Linked DNA regions of Arabidopsis thaliana. The protein of the gene in region 1 interacts with the protein of each later gene in a pairwise test. Each region holds a gene or a part of one and is shown on either strand. Other genes may lie near its edges. The genes, in order: BNQ3 and AT1G09250.

What was found.
Region 2: the proteins of BNQ3 (region 1) and AT1G09250 interact in binary tests that used the Arabidopsis thaliana proteins (3 or more experiments, as listed by UniProt).

What each region holds. Positions count from the first base shown.
Region 1 is NC_003074.8:17,588,285-17,592,173, forward strand, and holds BNQ3 (BANQUO 3), read left to right. Parts: upstream 1-2,259; 5' UTR 2,260-2,444; coding exon 2,445-2,573; intron 2,574-3,021; coding exon 3,022-3,171; 3' UTR 3,172-3,386; downstream 3,387-3,889. UniProt on the Arabidopsis thaliana protein: Atypical and probable non DNA-binding bHLH transcription factor that integrates multiple signaling pathways to regulate cell elongation and plant development.
Region 2 is NC_003070.9:2,987,317-2,991,220, reverse strand, and holds AT1G09250 (basic helix-loop-helix (bHLH) DNA-binding superfamily protein), read right to left. Parts: upstream 2,081-3,904; 5' UTR 1,713-2,080; coding exon 1,089-1,712; 3' UTR 794-1,088; downstream 1-793. Other genes in the region: AT1G09245 (Plant self-incompatibility protein S1 family), read left to right, coding at 3,854-3,904. UniProt on the Arabidopsis thaliana protein: Atypical bHLH transcription factor probably unable to bind DNA. Negatively regulates brassinosteroid signaling.

The DNA.
Region 1 (3,889 bases):
CTAAAAATTAATATTATATTAGAAAAGTTAAACCAAAGAAATAAAAACTAAATTAAAAGAGAGTACACATCGTGATTCTTCGCTGTATATTCCAAAAACTCATGTGCCCCGACGAGAGCTGAGATCCAAGCTGACCACGCAATAGTACCGTATATTGATTAGTTAATCACAATTCACAAATATTATTATTTGGATATTTTTGGGTTACATTTTATAGTTTCTTTTAATCCTCGGATTTTTAATTACGGATTATAAAAAACCAAAACAATACCTTAAGTTAGTAGTTTGAAAGTACACATATACATATTTAATCACACAAGTTGAGACGACCAAAAAATTTAATTTAATCACATAGTTTGCAAGATGTGCTTGTTTTGATCTGTCAAAAGAGGAATTGTCTCTAATTTATTTCCAAAATTATGAACACTCATATACGGATGTAATGTACATGTATAACTTTTATTTATTGTTTCACCTTATCAAAAAAAAAAAAAAACAATTTTAATAATTGTTACACAAATGATTAAACATATTTTATCGGGTAATGATATACTAATGAGTCATGAGTCCATGTGATTTTTTATTTTGTTTTTTGATCTAAAGATTCATAACTTAAGTATTCTGGTGTAAACATAAAAAGAAAGCAATTTTTTTGAATAATACAAAAAAGAAATCGTTTATTTTCTTAAAACTGTAAATAAAATCAAATGAAAATGTAAAATAAAATAATAAAAAAATGTAAAACAATCCACATATGAAAAAAAAATCTATTACTAGATTAAATCTAATAACGATTTAAAAATAGACAATACGTGTTCGGAATTTGGAATCAAAGTCCAATTTTCTCTTCTAACTTCTTAATTAAAAAACAAACTTTTAGTTTACAATTTATTTAATGAATTAAATTAAAAATATATTTTTTCTCAATTGTTGGTGTAACCATAATTAACTAATGGAATTTTTTGGAGAAAATATTAATTACTTCAATAAAACGAATGTTATTTATTATCTAAATATAAAGATATTACATGATGGGAAGAGAGACGGGTTACCATATAGTTTGATACCTAGACAAATTTCTGTCTGTAGACTATAAAATTATTTATAGGAATCATTTCCATTGATTAGAAATTCTTGAGATATAGTGATAAAATTGTCAGATCTAAATGGATAAATAATCGAGCGCTTGATTGATTATTCCAAATTTGCAATATATTAATCAACTGATTGATGCCCATGGTATACAAATAAAAATGGAAGAAAGACCAAACTAAGGTACACTCAAAATGGAAAAGACTGATATTAGAATTGTTTAATTTCATCTCTAATAAAACTAAATCAACTTAATTATTTATGTTTGTCTGTACATGCTCAAATTAGTATATGTACTAGATCAAGTATGTAACTATATAAATAAATTAATCTTGCAATATAACTATAGAAGTTGATTAACATTTCCAGGAGTTAATCCTAATTTTACAGTTCTTGGATTAATTAAGATATCATACAAACTAATCATAATTTGTAGTCTAGTACCAAAGTTTGTATTATCACCAATTCCAGAATTTATGCAAGTTTGCCGATAAGTATGACAAACATGCATACATATTCTCTTTGTCTTATAAACCCAAAATGTTTTAGTATACTCTATTCGTGCCAAAAAAAAATATGAAAGAAGGTATCCTCCAACTATAATCAAACATCACCTTTTAAATGATTTACTAAAATGGCACAAGATCACTCTTGTTCTGAAGTTGGTTACTAGTGAAACATATATAGAAAAATGAAAACTGGATTAGCAAAAAAAATAATGTGGAATTAAAATGAATTTTAATCTTCTATTTTATAATGAATTGTAATTGGATAAATGGAAATGTTTTTCCTATATAAGTTTAAAAACATAACGAGACGAAAATTTTCTACCGTTAACAACAAAGATGTTCTTGCAAATAAGATAAGCGTTTTTTTATTGCACAAATATATCTATAAATTTTAGATAAAATATAAATTCTTACCCATTGAGATTTGCATAATACTATTCAGAGTGTTTTTTTTCCCTTTCGTTAAAGACTACTAGTCAGAGTGTTAATCTAGTAATTCACCAATTAATTTAACTATACTTAAAAATATTACAGTTTTTAGGAAACATGCTAGAAAAAACATATATAATTTTGCAATTATATTATTCCATGCATACACATGTAGAGCCAAAAACGGAGAAAAATCTTCTATATAAACACAAGTTGAAACCATTCATGTTTATTTTAAGCAGTTGCAGTAGACTCTTCCACTTCTGTATTCAATTCTTCCTTCTTTTTTCTCTTATAATATAAATAACATACAAAGAAAATACTTGCACTCACAAATATTGATTAAAGTTAATTAGTGAACCCTAAGATTTATAAATCTCTAGCTATACTCTACCATATCATATATATTACATAATGTCTAGCAGAAAATCACGTTCAAGACAAACTGGAGCTTCCATGATCACGGATGAACAAATCAACGATCTTGTCCTCCAGCTTCATCGGCTTCTCCCCGAACTTGCTAACAACAGACGCTCTGGAAAGGTACAACGTTCTAATCAATTTTTCATTATGATTCCTTTTAAAAAATTTAATTTCCTCTTTCAAACCTTAAATCTTTTCTAAACCTTTTTAAATCTTCCTTGGATTAGTAGTGGGTACTTAAAAGAACAAACCTCCGGTTTAAAAAAAATAAAAATAATAACTAATATATATCCTCCATCAAAGTTTAACAGTAATTCTTTCATCTTTCTGTTGTTGCAAACAAACGAGAGTCTTTAGTTAGAATTATAAATAAATATTAAACTAATATTCCATATATTCCAATATTGCATGTATGTATTGATTCATTTGATTGTGATGCATTTTGTGACGAGTGCTAAATTTTAATTTCCAAACTAATCGACAATAAATAGCATGCTGCATGCATGATAATTAAATTGTTAATTATATATAAGATCCTTCTTCTTATCAATATATTGGTTACTTTCAGGTTTCAGCATCAAGGGTATTACAAGAGACATGCAGTTACATAAGGAACTTGAGCAAAGAAGTGGATGATCTTAGTGAAAGATTGTCTCAACTTTTGGAATCAACTGATTCAGCTCAAGCTGCACTAATCCGAAGTTTGCTTATGCAGTAGAATTAGTGCAATAAACGAAGGATATTTTTTTCTTTTCTTTTTTTTGAAAAAATGTCTTCTCAGTTTTAATTCCCCTTCTTATTGTATTTATAATGTCTGGCAGCTTGTGTCCCCTGTTAATTATGCAATGTTTTATTTTTAATATATGTAGGGTTTTGTTTTTGTCAGTTGTTGAACGAAGCAAATGGTTTGGGTTTACGTTCACATTATTTAAGGCAACACACTCAATATATGGGCTTAGGTATTTCTTAGATTCTAGGCATTCCAACCAAATCCATCACATTTTAGTAGCAAAAACATTGATTAAATTTTGAATTTACGAGAAGAACAATGTTTTCTAGTGTCATGCATATACGATTATAACGGTGTTTTTGTAGTTAATATCGATAGGAACTAAACTAACGCAAGTCAAATTTTCTGATCAAAATTAGTCGTTAATTTCGCTTAATGGTATAAAGTATATTTTAAGAAGGAATAAAATATGCTAATAAGCCCCCACGGTTTCCATTTCTGGTAACAAGAATACCATTCAACGTCTCGATCAGCAGCAACGTTGAATCGTTGATATCTATATATAGAAGTATAGAACCAAGGGGTAATTTGGTCATTCCAGTTCTAACCCACTTCTATTACAAGAGCAGTTTACTACGTAAAAACGACCGGCCTTCCACTTTCCCGAAAACAGCCAGCGCCCGCACGTAGAGATTTACTGCATATT
Region 2 (3,904 bases), on another chromosome or scaffold:
CAAAAGATGCAGTATGTCGATAGATGACATTTGGATAACCTATCTATCTCAGTTGACAAATATCTTTGAAATACAACCATAAATTAGTTTTTTTTAAGTTTCATCTAACATGTACTTAAAATATATATATTTAAAACCTATAGCACATCCTCCAAGCTCGATCCAAGGACTTATCAAGATGGATTTTGTGAGAAATCTTCTTATATAACTTGGAAGACACAATGACCCACAAACATGTTGCCATTTAATTTGATATACAACAAAAAGGTGTGAATGCTTTTGAAAGACATATTGGGTGTTAAAAGAAAGAGCACACGTGGGGAGTCTTAAAGAGGGAAAAAAGATGTTCCAAGAGACTCATTTCTCAATCTTATTGTTTCCTCTTCTTTTGGTTCCATTTTTGTGGTCCTTTTTGCTCACCACTTCTTTCAATGTTATTCCTAGTGGATTTCTTCTGACAACTAACTTTTACTAACTTGTATTTTATACCATAATCATCAATTTTTCATAATGTCAGTTCTCTTGAAGAGTCGTATGCTACTCCTTGTTATCATAATTAATGTTGACATTCAAGTAAATGTTTTTTTCTAATCAGTTTGAAAGATTTTGAGGGCATTTTGAGCAAAAAATACACTTTTCGACATAAACTTCAACGTCGGAAAAAGTCTTTGAGAATCACATGGAGTCCATTGGCCCCAAAATTAAGGTGGGTGTCCTCAACACGTTACACGCACATGCTCATTTTTGAATTGCTTCAACTTGCAAATTATTTGTTCTTCTCCTTACTTTTTAGTTTCTTTAATTTGTAGGTCTAATTTTTTTTTAAAGCGTTAAACAATTTTTGGAATCGACATTAGTTGGCATTTTGTTGTTGTTATTGTTTAGATAACTTTGATTATCTAACGAAAAAACAAAGAAAGATCAAAATGGATACAAAAAAAAAGAAGTGATGATGTATACAAATAAAATACATGAATTTAATAAATTAAAATCGCGTCGACGAGAAAAAAAAAACACTTGAAGCCAAAATAAAGGGGTAAAAAGGTAAAAGAAAAGCTAATTAACAACTGACAAACTAACTGCCGCCGTTAAGTTCCGGTCAACGTCGTCCGTGGTGCGGCTGCGGTTAAAAGTTCGGCGAGAGCCTCCATGGCTCGAACCTGCATCTCTAACGCTGCGATGTAATCGGTCGCTTCATCTAAAAGATTCGGTACAGAGACTTTCCGGCAACCAGGAACCAAACGGCCAAGAATCTTCAGTTTTCTCTCAACCGCCGGTAACTTAATCCGATTCGTCTCCGTGAGACCTTTTCTCGATTTACAATTTCCCGTTGACTTTTTCGCCTTTCTATGTTTCTTCAGCTTCGCTCGGACGCGACTCGCTAAAATCGCTCTGCTCCACCGAGTCGTACCACGAGCGGACGCAGCTAGAACTCGATCCGCCGTATCACGTATCTCCCTCGCCGCGCCGGAGACGAGTTTATCGGTCTCGTTGTTGCTGGTGGTGGAAGATCTCTGACGAACTCGGCGTAAAGCTTCGACGAGCTTACAAGCGTAGATCTGTTGCACACGATTCGTTTTCCATCTCTTCAAGCTTTCTTCGTTGACACGTCGTGCCTCTATCTCCGCCTCCGCCGTCTCTGATATCCTCGGCTTCTTTCTTCGAGACGATTCACCTGTGTTTTCGATGCTCGGGAACAGAGACTCCACCATTAAATCCGATTTAAAACCAGAGATTCAAAGAAACCGATGATAAAAGGCAAAAACAACAATCTCTTCTTCTTCTTCAGATTCTGAGAGTCTCTCTTTCTCTCTCTCTCTCTCTCAATGTGACTAGTTAGAAACAAGAGAAGATGAATGGAGAGAGATCAGTTTTTATATCTCTGCCAATCGCCAGCGGAGCTATAACACTTAATTCCACTTTTGCCCTTATTTACCGGTATTTGTTTTTTGTGTTTTTTTTCATTAGTTAAAAATCTTTTGTTTTTAATCTTTTGTCATTCATGTGATTGTTCTTTATCTTTTTGCCTTGGCATGAAGCTCCAAAATTATGCCCTTTAATAGTCAAAATGCTGAGCGATGCAAATATATTTTCTATGTTTATACATTGTAACTCCAAAGGTCAAAGAATATAGACGATTGATATATATATTTTTGATAAGTTGAGAAATAAAGGGTGATGTTGAATCTTTTGTTTCAAGTGGTTGCGGTAGAATTCATGTGGTTTTATTTTATTTTAAAGGTAAGCAGAGAAAGGGAAAAAAGCACTCAGAGAGTGAAATAAGCAAAAGAGAAAAGAAAATTTACCAAAAAAGCATTCCATGTGACCATTTTCATGGCGCTGCCATATGAGAAAAAAGGATCTCTTTTGTGTGACCTTTACTCATTTGTAATGTTGTGGACAATTTTCCGCCAACAAATTCTCTCCTTTGCCGTTTCCCACTATTTTGTGTGTGATTTGTATGTTTCTAATTGATATCTCAATCTAAAGAGTAATGAGTAGTCTACAAAGGAAAAACAAAAATAAAATTCAAGAGTAATGAGTAGTATATGTATATTGTCTTCATACCATAGTTTAGAAAATATTTTTTCTTGACAAAATTCGATCCTTCGTAACGGTGAATGTCATTGTCAATTTGTCATATATCACGAGGGAATTATTAGTTCCTACACCAAGTTCTAAATCTTAAACAAACCATGATCTAAATTCTATAGTAACTAATGTAAAACATTTACTTTTCTTGATCAATTCGTTTTTGGCACCTTGCTATGGAAAACACGAGAGAAATGTTTTAGCAATTATGAGTTGACACTAAATATTATAAGTGCATTTTTGTAGTAAATGTGTGATTTATACCAAAAAAAACAAGAAAAAAAAAAAGAAGATCTTGAAGAGAATCTAAAAGGGCCCTTTTCTCTGTAATTGGCCAGAGAGGCTTGCCCCCTTAATTGAGACATCGTCTCCATGTCTCTTCCTTTTCTTAATATTTTAACCACGCTCAAATATTTCTTCTCCGACTCTCTTAATAATACTCACCAAATTTTTAAACTGGAACCCATTGATATATGTGGTCGTAAGCTTTTCTTGTGCGTGTATATTTTTTAGATTCTAAAATATCACAAGATTCACAGCGCACATATGACACCAAAAAAAAAAAACACATGTCTATATGCATCAGACCAATTATGGAATCTCCCAAGGAACAAAAACATGCTCATTCGTGAATACAGTATCCAAGGTGGGGAAGTTAAAGACTAGATCTTACTCAGGAATTCATAAACACTGAGGTCAAAATCGAACAACATCACACAAAGGAAACAGCTCTCTTGGATCAAGTAACTTGTCTTTGCTATGTGGTTGCGTTGCTTTTCAGTTATTACCAGGAGCCTTCTGTACCTACTGTTGGGTTTGTGAACGCCTTGGCCCCTTTATAAAGTTTTAAATCTAGTCCATTAAGGCTCATTTATCGTTAGACTTACTGGGCCTGTATAGGCCCGAGGACAGATGTTATTTTGTTATGTTGAAATCGGGAGTTCAAATTTTCGAAATCTTCCGTATTACAAGATACACTTGTCCTGTTAAAATAGTACACTTGCAAGATTTTTTTGTTATATCTTAAATATTTTGGTTTTAGTTAGATGTTTGTGGATCACCTATGATTTGTAAGGTTGAATCCATTGGGATTGGTCAACCATACTTTTTTCGGCAATACCTATATATTAATAATTCATGTTTGTGTTTCAATTTAACTAATTTTAGTTAAGGCCATAAGAAAATACTAACACACTAATAACTATATATAATGCATTATTGATGTCATCAAATTCAAACTGGAGTCTCAAATTACTCTTAAATGAATCGTTTTATAATTTTTATGTTTGTTGTTGTAACATATTTTGGATTG